Lonchura striata: one gene and its partner. The protein of the gene in region 2 interacts with the protein of the main gene of each other region in a biochemical or structural test. Links are inferred from orthologs where the notes say so. Each region holds a gene or a part of one and is shown on either strand. Other genes may lie near its edges.

Region 1 (6,028 bases), on a different chromosome or scaffold from region 2:
TGTAGAAATGTGAACCACAAATCTTCTGGAGAGTGATTTTACATTTATGCAAACGTGACAGTGGATTCAGGTCAGAAGGGATGCAGACACTAAGAGGAGCCAATTGCAGAGAAGGACAATTGGCTTTTCCACACCAGGGACTCCTTGCCTGGTCTCTGGCAAACAGCTTGGGATGCACCAGCGCTCCTCCCTCAGGCATTCAGCACAAATCAACCCCCAAACAAGGATTTAAACTGTAGGGGACAAAAAAAGAACACAGCCAAAGCTTACAGCTTATTGACAACTTCCTTCAGGTCATTGGTCTGCACCTCCCGGGTCATGATCTCCATCATTTTCTTGCGGATCTGCCGGACCTGCTGGTGCTGGGCATAGGAGGTCTTGCGGATTTGGTTATTGCGCTTCTTGGTGAAGCCCACGCAGAAGAGGCGCAGCAGGTACCCGTCTGTGGTTTTGACATCCACGTGGGCTTCAATCATTGTCTGCAAGAGGGAGCAGGACCATCACCACCCACGCAGCACGGGCTGCCCAGCCCCACACACCCCACGCCGTCCGATGCCGCTTCAAACACAGCTTTGCCAGGCACCAGCGCTCCCTCCCTCCCTGAGGCACCGGCAGCGACCACACCTTGTTTCTTACACACCTGCCATTTTTTGACCATGGAGCACATTTTGTCCCGTGTGAGGTCCATCCCATGGAAGTTGGTCAGACAATTTTTGCCCTGAACGTCCTCAGTGATCAGTTTAAATTTGCGGAAGGCAACCTCATCATTCTGCAGATCAGCCAGGCTCACTTCAAACACGCGGCCCTTCAGCCCGTCAGAGGCAATTTCTGGGAGATGGAACAGAATAAAACACCTTAGATTAACATTAGAAGCACATTCTTCAAATCAGATACTAAATTCCCGCTGGAATCCTGTTCTCTGATATTTTCTAATGGTGATCACAGAGCCAGCAAGGTTGGAAATTTCTCCCTTTGGGAGGAATCTTTCAAGGCAGTATTATCAGGTGTGGGATACGGACAGCAGCACACACCAGTTCCACGTGTAATAATTTGGTTTGTTTCAAGCATAAATGGGTTACAGAGTATTTGGAAATTATCAACAGTCATGAGAAAACTAAACATAAAAAGCCACAAGTGCTCAGCAGAGATGAAGTAGGAATGAACAGCCCAGTACAATCATTTCACCGCTCCTCCTCCAACGAGGAGCCATTTTAACAACACTGGCTGGTTTGGCAGCAACCCTCATTTTATTTGTTTCAGATGTTACAGTTCAAAGCAACAATCATCATCCCAACTTTGAGTGCAGCCAGCAGAGTATCATAAGGCTGTTCAGCCATTCTCCATGGCTAAACTTCCAAACACATGGTCACCTCTATCCAGACACCTCTGCATTGCTAACAGAAGTCTCTCTTCCTAAGATGTGCCACACGAATTTACCCTCCTGTGATACATCAGTGCTCCCATTAAGTCAGCAATTCCGGCTCTAATCTTTACTCAAAAGCTTTACATTTCATCTATTTCAGTGTCTTCATGTGTTGGTCGTTATGGTACTACTAGGACTAAGGTCTCCTGTGGCACCGTCCCACATCTCCCCCCATGACAATCAGTACTACTGCTTACTTCCTGAACCTTTCCCGACTTGCCAGGTTACAAGGGAAACTCATTAGAAACTTCAGGCCCTTTCTTCCATGGTTTGGCATTGCTGTACAAACAAGAGTCCAGTGTACGAACTTCCTGCAGCTAATCTCATTTATTCAAACAGCTCAGTCAACTCAAAAAAAATCCACTCAAATCACCCAACTTTTTAAGCTTCCAAGCTCGTAATAGTAGAAGCATTTTTCATTTTTCAGCAGTCTTTTATACAGAGAGTTCTTTAAGCGCTTGGAGCTAGCATGCGGAGCAATCACAATCCCCGGTACTGCCCCAAGCCCAAGCACTCACTAGTTCCTTGAGTCCTGGTGACAAGCGTCTTCCCGATGTTCCGGATATTGAACATCGCCGGTGCTTTGACATCGTACCAGTCCTTCTTGGAGAAAGGGTCGACCCTTGAATCAAACGAAGCAGGTTTTTTAACCGACCTTCTCGGGCCACACGGGGCTGCAGCATGCCCTTCCTCTCCGGCTGCCGCCGCCGCTCCCGCCCCGCCGGGCCCACGCCCGCCATGACGGCATCGGCCCTGCTCCGGCCGGGCCGCGGCCGCCATCCGCCCCGCATCCCCGGCATCCCACCTCCGCGGCGCCCCGCCCGGCGCCCCCCGCACCGCCCGCCGCGCCCCGGCGGCCCTCACACTTTCTTCTTGGCGCCCTTCTTGCCGCCCTTGGTGAGGCGCTTGTTCTTCCCGACCGCCATGTCCGGCCCGCGCCGCGGAAAGGGCGGCGCGCGCGCTCCCGCGAGATTATACGGGAGCGGCGCTCGCGCGAGACCCGCGAGAGCGGGGCCGCCTCCAGCGCCGGGAGCGGGGGCGGGACGGAACCAACGGCACGGGGGGCGGGGGGAGCCGCCCGTGCTCCTGAGCGCCCCCGCCTGGAGCCCCGCGGGGCGCCCGGCCCCGCGCTCCCGATCCCCGCGGGGCGCCCGGCCCGCGCTCCCGATCCGTGCGGGGCGCCCGGCCCCGCGCTCCCGATCCCCGCGGGGCGCCCGGCCCCGCGCTCCCGATCCCCGCGGGGCGCCCGGAAATGCGGATGCCCCGGTGGGGCAGCTGTGCGGACGGGCAGAGCCACAAGGACGGGGTTCGCTGCACCGACGGTGCTCGGGCGAAAGGCAGGTGCCACCTCCTGCCCTTTCTGATGTCTTCAAGCTGAATTATCTGTCCCCAGGCTGAATCTCATCACCTTTTGTAAACGTAACTGATGTCGTCTGATATTTTCTACAATGGAAATTGGCAATGAGGAACTTTGTATTTCAAGTATTGCATAAGAGTGCTGTCATACAAACAAATAAATATACATCAATAGATGAGAAATATGCATTAGACAAGCAGGCTCATGTGAATTTTACTGTATAAAAGATGTTACTTTTTACCCCATGGAGTGTTTGATTTGTCAAACCTCCACCTTGCATCCTGTGCAGAAAAAAAAAATATCTCCTTTCTAAATTATGTTTTGAGAGCTCCTAGAATCGGCAGCTTTCCCAGGCCTTGGGGCACCGAGGGAACAACCAGAGTGGGTGGTCTGGGCTGCTCCAAATGCCCTGGCTGATGGCTCCTCTCCCCTCTGCACAGAGCAGGAGGAGGCTTCACTCAGCCCTCCTGCATGGGCAGGGATGGCACATGGAGAAGCGGTGCCCAGGACATCACCAAGCAGTTGGAAACCCCCTGGAACAAGAGCTGACCACAGGCTGTGGCTCCCCAATGAGCCTCACAGCAGCCTCTGGCAAGAATATGCCTGGGGCTCTGCCAGGTAGGATGGGGTCCAGCACAGGTACCTGCACCATGCCCACTAAAGAGAGCCCACTGCCAAGCATCCAGGCTTGTTCCTCGTCCGGTGAGTGCCATCCCTTTTCCACCCACACCAGGACAGTGGGAAGCAGTGTGTCTGAGGGGTCATGGTGAGAGTCCCCATCCTCCTTTCATGCCCAGGAGCAGGGTATTGAGAGTCTCAATACCCTGAGTCTCAAGCAGAGTCTCCTGCTGACCTTCCACATCTGCGAGGTTTTGGCCAGGTTCCTGAACAGTTCCCACTGTAGGAACTGTGTACCTTTGAGGAGAATTTCTTCAGAGGCTGTAGAAACGCCACCAGAGCCCAGGGCAGGACCCTCTGCGCTTTCACTGTGGCCAGTTTTGAAAGTGTTAAAGCTCTTTTGGGAAAGGTGCTGCCAAGGACCTCATTCTGTCTTTTCCACTTCCCATCGGAGTCTCTCTGATGTCTTTGAAGAGGGCGATGGAGACCACTTGCACTCACTCGTGACAGCCTCTCCTGGGCACTGCATGCCTCTCCCTCTGGAGGGGACACGCTTTCTTTGAGGCTCTATTACAATGGTCAAGGGAAAGCAGTATTTGGTGAACTCAGGCTGGCTCCTGGCTCTCTGCTTGTCTCTGCATCAATGGAGCAGCTGGGAGCATGGGAGGTAGCAGTGAGGAAAAATGCATCCTGGCACTTCCAGGAGTGTGAATTTGCCTGCAAGGGGACACGGGGAAAAGGAACACATAGGCCCCTTAGCACTGCAGAAGAGCCATGGATGTGCCATATCTTTCAAGAGTTGTAGGAACATCTGCCAGCTGCCCCAGTGGTGATGGTGACATCCTGCCCCCCACCAGGGACCCACATATCTTGCCCTACCACCCAAAAGGACCCAGGTATCCTGCTTTTCATGGGACAGGTGGCCAAGGCCAGAGTGGGCAGGGGCCACGCAAGGGGATGCACGCAGACAGTCACGTGGTTCGTTAATGACTACCTAATGACCTTGGGGGCCATGAGGGTGAGCAGGGCCTCCCGGACACCTGATTCCCCCAGACATCCACTGGACCTTGCTCTTTACCCTGCCCCTCCTCCTGGATCCTTGCCCATTGGGCACAGCTGGGGCCAGTATAAAAGAGGTGCAGAGGAGTGGGAGGGATCCTGGAGACCCTGAGGCCATAAGGGAAACTGAGGCGCGCACACAGGTGCAGGTGAAGGGTGCACAGGGGACCAGAATGCCTGTGGGAGGGCTCTGTGAGGAACCCAAGCATCCAGTGGGGAAGGGAGGCTGTGTATGGCATCCGGGTGTGGGGGCATGGGGTGGATCTATAGGGGAGCCAGGGGTCTGAGGAGCGGGTAGGGGGTGTTCCATGGGGGACTGAGGCTTCCGGGGAGCGCATAACTTAGGGGACCCATGCATCCAGGCGAGATCCACAGATAGCCCATCTGTCCAGAGATGGGCCCCCTGCACTGGGAGGTGATTTGTATGGGACCCAGGGATTTGGGAGGGGAATCTCTAAAATAACCAAGCGCCCAGGGTGGGATTTCCAGTCGGGGGCCCAGAGGTCAGATGGCCCTAACCCCACCTTCCCTAGGTGGCCATGGCGGGCTGGGTGCTGTGCGTGACCCTTGCGCTGGCAGCGCTGGCAGGGGCGGCGGTCGAGACCCGCTACGAGAAGTTCCTGCGGCAGCACGTGGACAACCCCCGGACGTCCACGCTGGCGGCGCATCGCTACTGCGAGACCATGCTGGCGCGGCGGCGCGTGACGGCCCCGGGCAGGCCCTGCAAGCCCTCCAACACCTTCGTGCACGCCCCGGCCACGGACCTGGTGGCCGCCTGCTCCCAGGCGCCCGACCCCGAGACGGGGTTCCACAGCACCCCGAGCGCCCTGAGCCTGACGGCGTGCCGGCTGCGCGGCGGGGACACGCGGCCGCCCTGCGCCTACCGCGCCCGCCAGGCGCAGCAGCACGTGCGCGTGGCCTGCCGCGACGGGCTGCCCGTGCACCTGGCGGGCACCTACACGGCCCCGCAGTGACGCCTGGCACGGACCCTCGTGGGCCCTCGGCGCGGGCGCAGACCCTCCCTGCCGTCAGGGGCTCTGTTAGCGCTGGCAATAAAGGAGGTGTCAGAGGCCTGGGCTCCAGCATCAGCTTCTGGCGGGACCCTGCGATCATACCCCTCCCTGGGTGCCCCCTGCGCCTCTTGGGTCACCCCAACCCTGTCCAAGATGTATTTGGCCCCCGTGTGCCTTATGGTTCCCAGGAGGCTTGGAACACCCATAGGCCACTGAGGTGTCTCTGCCCTCTCCCCTTTCTTGGGTGTCTCACAACTCCCATGGGTTCCCCATAATCACCACCACCCTCCCAGCCCAAGGCCCACCAATCTCCTGGATGTGTACCCAGCCCTCTCCCCAGTGTCCTGACCCTTTGGGTGTCACATTGCTTTCCTGGATAGCCCATAACTCTCACAGGGTTTCCCAACCTCCCCCATGCCTTATAACCCCACTGGGTACCCCCGAATTCCCTCATGTCTGCGCCATAAACTGTCTGATGCCCCATCTCCCACATGCCTCTGAGCCCATCCGTGATCTCTCTGGGGCTGAAGCTGCTCCCCCTCGGGGCCCTCACAGGAC
Region 2 (7,479 bases):
CTGGTAAGCAGATTTTTTTTTTTTTTTTTTTTTTTTTGGTCTGCAGTAAAACTGCATTTCTGAACTGATGTAAACAGCGCTGTGCAGAACAGCTCCAGATAAACGTGCACAAAAACATGCCAAGGCCAGTAGCTGAGCTCTAGGTTTAGTCTACAAGGGATGGGGTTAAAGGCACCGCTGTAGTAGGTGATAAAATGCAGCCTTGGTCTCCTGGTTTGGCCAGCATGACTCAGACTACGGGGCATGAAAAAGAAATAATCCCTGAGCTATTCCGTGGGAATGTAAGCTGCAGGCAGCCACCGTCGTCCCTCTTTCCAGTCCCCTCCTGCCTGCCGCCGTAACATCGCGGGGACCCCAAGCTGGCTTTTCGGAGGCCGGCGCGCACCAGCGCTGCCGTCAGGGCGCGCCCACAACAAACCCGGCACCCACGTGGGGAGGGGCTCGGCAACCGCGGCCGGACCGGGACACGGCGCCAGCGGCAGCGAGAGCGCACCGACCTGCCCGGCCTCGGCCCTTCCCTTCCCAACGCGAGCGCTGCCGGGAATCCCGGCCCACGGCCTCCGCGGGACCGCACCACAGCCCCACGTGTCGCGGGCTGATGGGGATCGGAGCCAGCGGCGACACGCGAGGGGACAGTGGCAGCCGGACTGCCATAGCCCTCGCCGCGTCGCTCGGGCACTCTCCCGTTTTAGCCCCCCCCGGATCGAGAAGAGGTTCTCCCCGCAGCCCCGAGTTCTGCACCTTCCTGCGAGCCGAGGAGGGATCCCGTTCCGTTCGGGGTCCCGGGAGCGGCCCGGTCCTACCCCGAGGCACTGCCGCCACCGCTGCCGCCGCGCCCCGCCGCCTCCCGCACCGCAAGCAGCGCTCTTCCCTCCCAGGCTTTCTTCCCTCCCTGCTCCCTCCGCCCCGGCCCGGCCCGGCTCCCGGCTCCTACCGCCGCGCCGCCACCGCGCAGCTGCCGCCGGCTCCGGCCCGGCTCCGCCTCGTATCGCGGCGGGGAGGAGCAGGATCTGTCCCTCCTCCCCTTTTCCCCTTTCTTCCCCCTTTTCCTCTTTCTCTCCCTTTTTCTTCCTTTTTCCCTCCGTTTTCCCCCTCTCTATTTATTCATGCCCTCTCTGACACTTAACGCCCTTTCCCCTCTCTTTTCCATTTGTCTTTCCCTTTCTAAATTTTTCCTGACTTCTCCCTGCTTCCCTCTCCCCCTCTTTTCTGACCTTCTTTCCTCCTTTCCTCTCTTTTCCCTTCTTGCTTTCCCCCTCCACTCTCCTTTATCTGTTTCCTTCATATCTCCTTCCTTCCATTTTCCTCACTTCCTTTTTTTTAACTTTTTAGTTTTTCCTTCCTTCCTTCCTTCCTTCCTTCCTTCCTTCCTTCCTTCCTTCCTTCCTTCCTTCCTTCCTTGCTTCCTTCCTTCCTTCCTTCCTTCCTTCCTTCCTTCCTTCCTTCCCTCCCTCCCTCCCTCCCTCCCTCCCTCACTTCTCTCTTCCTCCCTCCCTCACTTCTCTCTTCCTCCCTCTCTCTTCTCTCATTTTTCTCTTTAACCATTCTCTTTTGTTCCTTTTTCTGCCCTCCTTTTTTCTGCTATCTCTCCTCCTCTGTCTTTCCTCTTTTTCATCTTCTCACCAACTTCTCTATTTTCGACCTTTTTCCCTCCCTTTCCTTTTACTCCTATATCCTGTTGCCCTTTTTTTCCCATCCTCCCTGATACCCCCTGAGGAGGAGCACTGGGATACGCAGGAAACAAAATAGGAGAAAGAGAAATCCCTATCATAAGGGGATGCACAAAAGGTGGCAGTATCAAACAGAAGATGAGGTAGTGTACCAATCAGCTGAGAGGGCAACCTTTGCAGTGTGCCAGGACCTGGAGCAAGATGGGAATGCATGCAGATCACCCAGAGCAGAGGCACCGTGGCAAGATCTCAGCTAGGGGAGACAAGATTTCCCCAGGGAGCACGGAACTAGGAATTGTTTGAACTGGAAACAACAAAAATATCCTCAGTGGTCTCCCTGACTTCCATCTTCCAGACAGCTGTGCACGGGAGGCCAGCTCGGAGGGCCTGGCAGCCCCTGCTCCCCATCCCTGGCACCAGTCTATCCACGACGCATCTTCTCGTATCTGTGTCCCTCATCAGCCCAACACCGGCAGAGAGCTGCACCTCGCTGGCACAAAGGCCTCTCTCTCTGAGCCCTTTGGAACGGAGCTGTGACAGCAGTGGAGGATGGGCGCCTCGGCCTTGTGCTGCTGCCAGGCCTGTTGCGCTCCGGGCTCTCCCCGTGCCACTGCCCCCACTGACCCCAGTGACCAGTGGCTGTCCCGCACATCCGTCCCGTGGCAGGGCGAGGGTGGCAGCGCTTGGTCAGGGCTGGAAGGCATTCGTCATCCCTTGGCTCGCTTCCTCCTCCGCCTGCTAGCTACTCCCTGTCTCCCTCCCTATTGTTTCCCGGTAGTTTTAACCTCGGTAAAAGCTCATTCAGATTTTCACAAGACCGAACAAAGAAAGGTTTTGAAGTGCCGAGAGGCATTAGGCGACACCCCGACTTGCCTTTCTCCCTCCACCCCCAAGATCTCAGCGTCTCCCCAGTTTTTTCTACCTACAAACACCCTCTTTCCATAACCCTGGCTCACACAACAGTTCAACTAAGCACAAGCAGCTGTTCCCTACAAAGCAGGGCTTTGAAATGGTTCCGTGCTCCTCCCCGGAAAGCAGGAGGGAAAGTTTCGGGAGTTTCAGAGCCTGCTTTTGCCGCTGGTACGTACCTTGCTGTTGTCGGTTCTGTGCAGCAGCGAGGGGAGCAGAGCCGGCGCCTTCCTGCTGTCGTTACCACGCAACCTCTGCTGTCGTACACATGGTGCCTGCTAGAGGGAGGGAAACAGTTTTGGGCTCTGACGGCTTTTTTCCTCTCGTGGCAGCTCTTCAGGGCCTTGCAGAGCAAGCACGATTATGTCTGGCTTGTGACTAAGCAAATGGTGCAAAAAGCTCCTGATGGTGACAGAGGCAGCTTTTACTTCTCGCACTGGATTATGTGGCCACTTGCCATGGTTTAGCACAGAACAAAGGAGTAGTTGCCACTGAAGGATCCATCCGAAAATGAGGCCACCACAGTGTTGAAGTGTGGGTAGAGATGGTGAAGTTTGCCTAGTTTCTCCATTTTCCAGGCAAGCCTGTTCTGCCAGGCTTAGGAATGATGCTGAGCACATTACCTGTCACCTTACTGGGGTCTCTGCATCCCTCTTCCCAGCAGGGGCTAGGGCACAGGCAGTCAGTCCCCTGCTTCTGCACAAGCTGAATGCTCACACTGTCAGGAAGGGTCCCTTGGGCACAGTCCTCATTGTGTCTCCCTAAAACTGCCCCTCAGCAGCTAGCATGGACCTCACTCCTACAACCTTCTCCTCCCAAATTCCCACTGAGGCTCTTCTCCTCCTCAAGGAAAACCCTGCCTTCACTCAAGCTGTATTGCACAAAAGTTGCGGGTTGAAGTAACGTGCCTTCTTCCCCCATTCTCAATGGTGTGAAGATGAATTAATTTTTCAATAGTCTGAAAATGATCCAGTAGCAGAAGGACAGATTTGTCTTTCCCTTCTGTGGCTGCAGATGCTGACAGAGATGATGGTAGAATGATGTCCTGGGAAACAGAGCCTTTGTTGAGTCACAGGAGAAACACTAGAGGCTTTCCCTCCAGCTGCATTTATTACAGTTCTCCTGAAGGAGATTGGAACCAGGAGAGCTCAGTGAGCTAAAACCCACCTTCCTCAGTGCCCAGAAGAGAGTTGAAAGCCAGAGAATTCACCTCTTCCCTATTCCCTCTCAGGAAAACAGGGTCATCCACATAAAGAATTTGCTAGTCCTTGTGCTTCTGGGTCTGACCTGAAACCTGCTGAAGCACAGGCAAGAGCTTGGGGATGGCCTGAGCTCCTGGCTTTGGTGCTTGTTAGGATGCTCCCTGGCAGGCAAATGGAGGGGATGCTGTGGCTATTGAAGGATGTCTCTGCCCTTTTTGCTTGGCATGATGCTTTCAGAAGACCACTAGTGTTAGGAAGAAAGTTTATGCTGGCAGATCTCCCAGTCAACCAGGCAATTTGAAGATCCGACAGCAAAGGTGTCATTTCCTATTCAGCCATTGCTGGCATCTCTCTGCTCTTGGTTCCCACTTCACTGCACTTATCAGGAGTCTCTAAAGGACAAAGTCTAGTGTTTGTTAGTGATTTCAGAGAGGTTTATGTCACATGGACCTTCTGTAGACCTCTTGTCCTGGGCAAAACTCCCAATACACTCTGGTCTGTGTTGGTGAAATATTATATTTATAGGCCAAATAGCCTTACCAAAAGGTTATGTGCTTTTGTACCCTTTGGCTGCCCTCACTGTGGGGACAACAAAAGGCATCTCTGGAAAAAATCTATTGCCTTTTTCCTAGCATGCAGGACCAGGCCATCCTGCTCATCGAGATACACACAGATCCAGAGGAAATGATACAAAATGGGGCTCAGAAAGCCAACAGCAAACACAAGTGAGAAATACCTGTGAATGTCTTGCCACTGAAACAGTGGAAGACTCCTGACATGGAAGGCATGTCCATTTGGTTATTTGTACAGGCTCAGGCTGATTCCTTAAAGATGCCTTGAGGAGTCTGGCAGTGACATCTGCCCTGTGTTCTCCTCTTTATCACAGTTTCCCATTATCCTTTTGCGTTCATTCAAATTTATCTCCTCTTTTTTTTTTTTAGATCCTCTCCCTCTTTTGGCCTTTGTAGCAGGGAGGGAGAGCATAATGATGCCCATCTTGCCCCTGCTGCCTCTCTGCATTTAAGATTACTTTATTTTAAAACTAAATTTATGCACACAATCCTAGAGTAAACTTACAAAAAAACACTTAAATTAAGGCCATTAGTGTAAACTGAAAACTCTGCCTCTTCCCCTTCTAGCAGTTTCCTGTTCTGTCCTCTCTGCTCTTATGATGCCTCTGTGCATATACTTAATGGTAATTAAAGACAATAAACTTCTAAGAGTAGTGACAGATCTTTTTCTAACTTGATTATGTGATCTGTACCAGCAAATTCATTCCATAAATTCAGCTGTGGAGATCAAAACCGTGAGTTTTAAGCATCTGCCCAGCTCCATTTGTTGCAGTGAGTGATTTGTTTATATCCTACTTGATCCATTGCTGGAAGCCATTTGTTCCTTCAGTTTGTGTGCAAATTTGAAGTAAGGCTTTGTAGGGTGAGGAAATGCAAAACTTGGGTCATTCCTGAAGAGTCAGTGGGCTGATTAAGCACTGGGGAGCAAAGTATCTGTGGAGCTAGAATGGAGAACCTGACACTGTGGCTTAACTGATGCCTCAGGAGCTAAAAAAAAAAAAAAAAAAAAAAAAAAAAAAAAAAAAAAAAAAAGGAGGTTATAAACAGGTGCTGGTAGCAAGCTGTGAGCAAGGTTTGGGTGTTTCAGAAAATACAGGCAATTGCTCACCCTGACTTGCATGCGTGCACACACACATATGGATGTTCCATTCTGTGGCAGCTCATTATAGATTCCCACAAGAAAACCATTAGAGAGGAAATTCTTGCTGTTCTAATGTGGTCTCCTTGTTCTTGTAAAAGAAAAGCTGTTGTTTCCATTTTGCACTGTGGGTTTTTTTGGGTTGTTTTTTTTTTTTTTTTTTTTTTTTTGTTTTTTTTTTTTTTTTTTTTGAGGGAGTGGAGAGCATTATATTGAAGTAGTGCTGTGAGTGTATGTGTAATATTTTATCCCTGTGGATACAGTCTTTCACAGTGGGTCCAGGGAAAATGGAGCCCCAAGAAAACGGAGCTTGCCAGATATCTACATCAACCAACACACCTGCAGAAAAAGTACTGTCAGAGGAATTTTTCTCACATCCCTGCTTTTCTTCATATTCTGTCTCAGCCTTCGGCAGTGTTTGCCTGCCCGTCTGCAGAGGGCGATGCAGCATCAGTTTGACCAGACTTATGGTCCTCTGGTTTTCCCTCATCCCGAAGTTGCCCTTGGTCACCAAGACATTGCAGGGGTTGAGGGCTGAGATGGAGCCACAGCTAGAGGGGAAACGGAGAGGACTAGACCAGAAACACAGGTGTATTTCACAGCACAGTCTCTTCATGCCAGCTGTGCAGCAGCTGATGAAATGGGAGACTGCAATGGATCTCACTTTCCTGTTAAATCTTGCTGCACAGGAAGACTTGAATAATTTGCTGAAACTTTGAAGGTCACTGTAGGGACAGCTGGTTATTTCATTATTTTGTCCAGGACTCAGAAGTGTGAGTTTAAATCAGCTTTAAAAGGCAAGAATGAAATCTTGGAGCTAAAAGAACCTCAACCACCATATGCTAATCTGGTTTTCAGACCTCACTTTACATGATACCATTGCTTTTTTGCAGAAAGGAATAATAGATGTCCTCTGCCAGTAGAGGCATCTCTCTTTAGTCTCCATGAGAATATCCATGAGAATTCATGGGTATTTGTGTCCAGAAAAAATCACTTTGTATCCTAGAGTCGCGATGGTCAGGAAAGACCTCAAAATGATCATGTACATCTGTTAACCCAGCAACACTGTGTTCACCACTAAACCATAACCCAGAGTTACATCCACATGCCTTTTGAACAATTCCAGGGGTGGTGATTCCAACATTTACCTGGGCAGCCTGTTCCAATGCCTGACCATCCTTTCAGAGAATAATTTTTTCCTAATATCCAATCTAAACCTCCCATGACACAACGTGAGGCCATTTCCACTGATGCTGTAACTTGTCACCTGTGAGAAGAGACCCCTTCACCTGCCTAAAACTCCTTCCAGGCAGTTGTAGAAGTGATTTGGTCTCCTGAGCTTCCTTTTCTCCAGGCTAAACAGCTCCAGTTCCCTCAGCTGCTTCCCATAAGACTTGTGCCATAAAAAAACCCACTGCATTCTCTCTTTAATCCAGTTCTTCCTTGGATTATTAGAATTAATTTGCTGCAAAGGTTTGGGGGTGGGATATTTTGGAGTTTCCTCAGGTGTAGGCTGGAGCCTGAGAGCAGCTTGAAAGTTGAATTTCATTCTTTGTCATTGAAATTTGCCAGAAAGATAATTTCCTTGTGCATATAACTGAGGAAAGTGCTCAGAATTGTTTTCCTCCACTGAATCCCAGTTCAGTTTGTGGCAGGGATGGAAATGCCAGCTGAGTGTAATCCTGTGAGGTTGTTTTTTCGTTATGATACACCATCAGTTTTAATAAACAGCTTCTCTCTCTCTCTTTTTTTTTTTTTCTTTTTCTTTTTTTTTTTTAAGCTTTTGGTTATTCCTTGTGGCTTGTTGCAGTAGAATAGGGGCAGAATGTGAAGAACTTGCTTGAACTTTGCAATTGGATAAATTCAGGGAGCAAAGTCTTGACCTTTTTTTAAATAAATGCCACCTATATCAATGACTCCTTCTTAAATTTGCAGAAGATGAAGAAGTGTTTTGGCTCCACCAGAGGCCTCCAGGTGAAGGCACCTCA

The links. The genes of interacting proteins can lie anywhere in the genome.
Region 1: the proteins of RNH1 (region 2) and ribonuclease CL2 are reported together in a solved structure, tested with the Homo sapiens proteins (3 studies listed by BioGRID and IntAct, with this or other methods). The link is inferred for Lonchura striata from reciprocal best matches to the Homo sapiens genes RNH1 and ANG.

What each region holds. Positions count from the first base shown.
Region 1 is NC_134606.1:43,716,167-43,722,194, forward strand, and holds ribonuclease CL2, read left to right. Parts: upstream 1-4,504; 5' UTR 4,505-4,600; exon of another isoform or gene 4,601-4,606; intron 4,607-4,990; 5' UTR 4,991-4,996; coding exon 4,997-5,431; 3' UTR 5,432-5,528; downstream 5,529-6,028. Other genes in the region: RPS3A (small ribosomal subunit protein eS1), read right to left, coding at 271-479, 641-828, 1,942-2,045, 2,288-2,349. UniProt on the Homo sapiens protein: Secreted ribonuclease that can either promote or restrict cell proliferation of target cells, depending on the context. Endocytosed in target cells via its receptor PLXNB2 and translocates to the cytoplasm or nucleus.
Region 2 is NC_134608.1:44,411,946-44,419,424, forward strand, and holds the start of RNH1 (ribonuclease inhibitor), read right to left. Parts: upstream 3,013-7,479; 5' UTR 2,759-3,012; intron 1,008-2,758; exon of another isoform or gene 935-1,007; intron 825-934; exon of another isoform or gene 742-824; intron 1-741. UniProt on the Homo sapiens protein: Ribonuclease inhibitor which inhibits RNASE1, RNASE2 and angiogenin (ANG). May play a role in redox homeostasis. Required to inhibit the cytotoxic tRNA ribonuclease activity of ANG in the cytoplasm in absence of stress.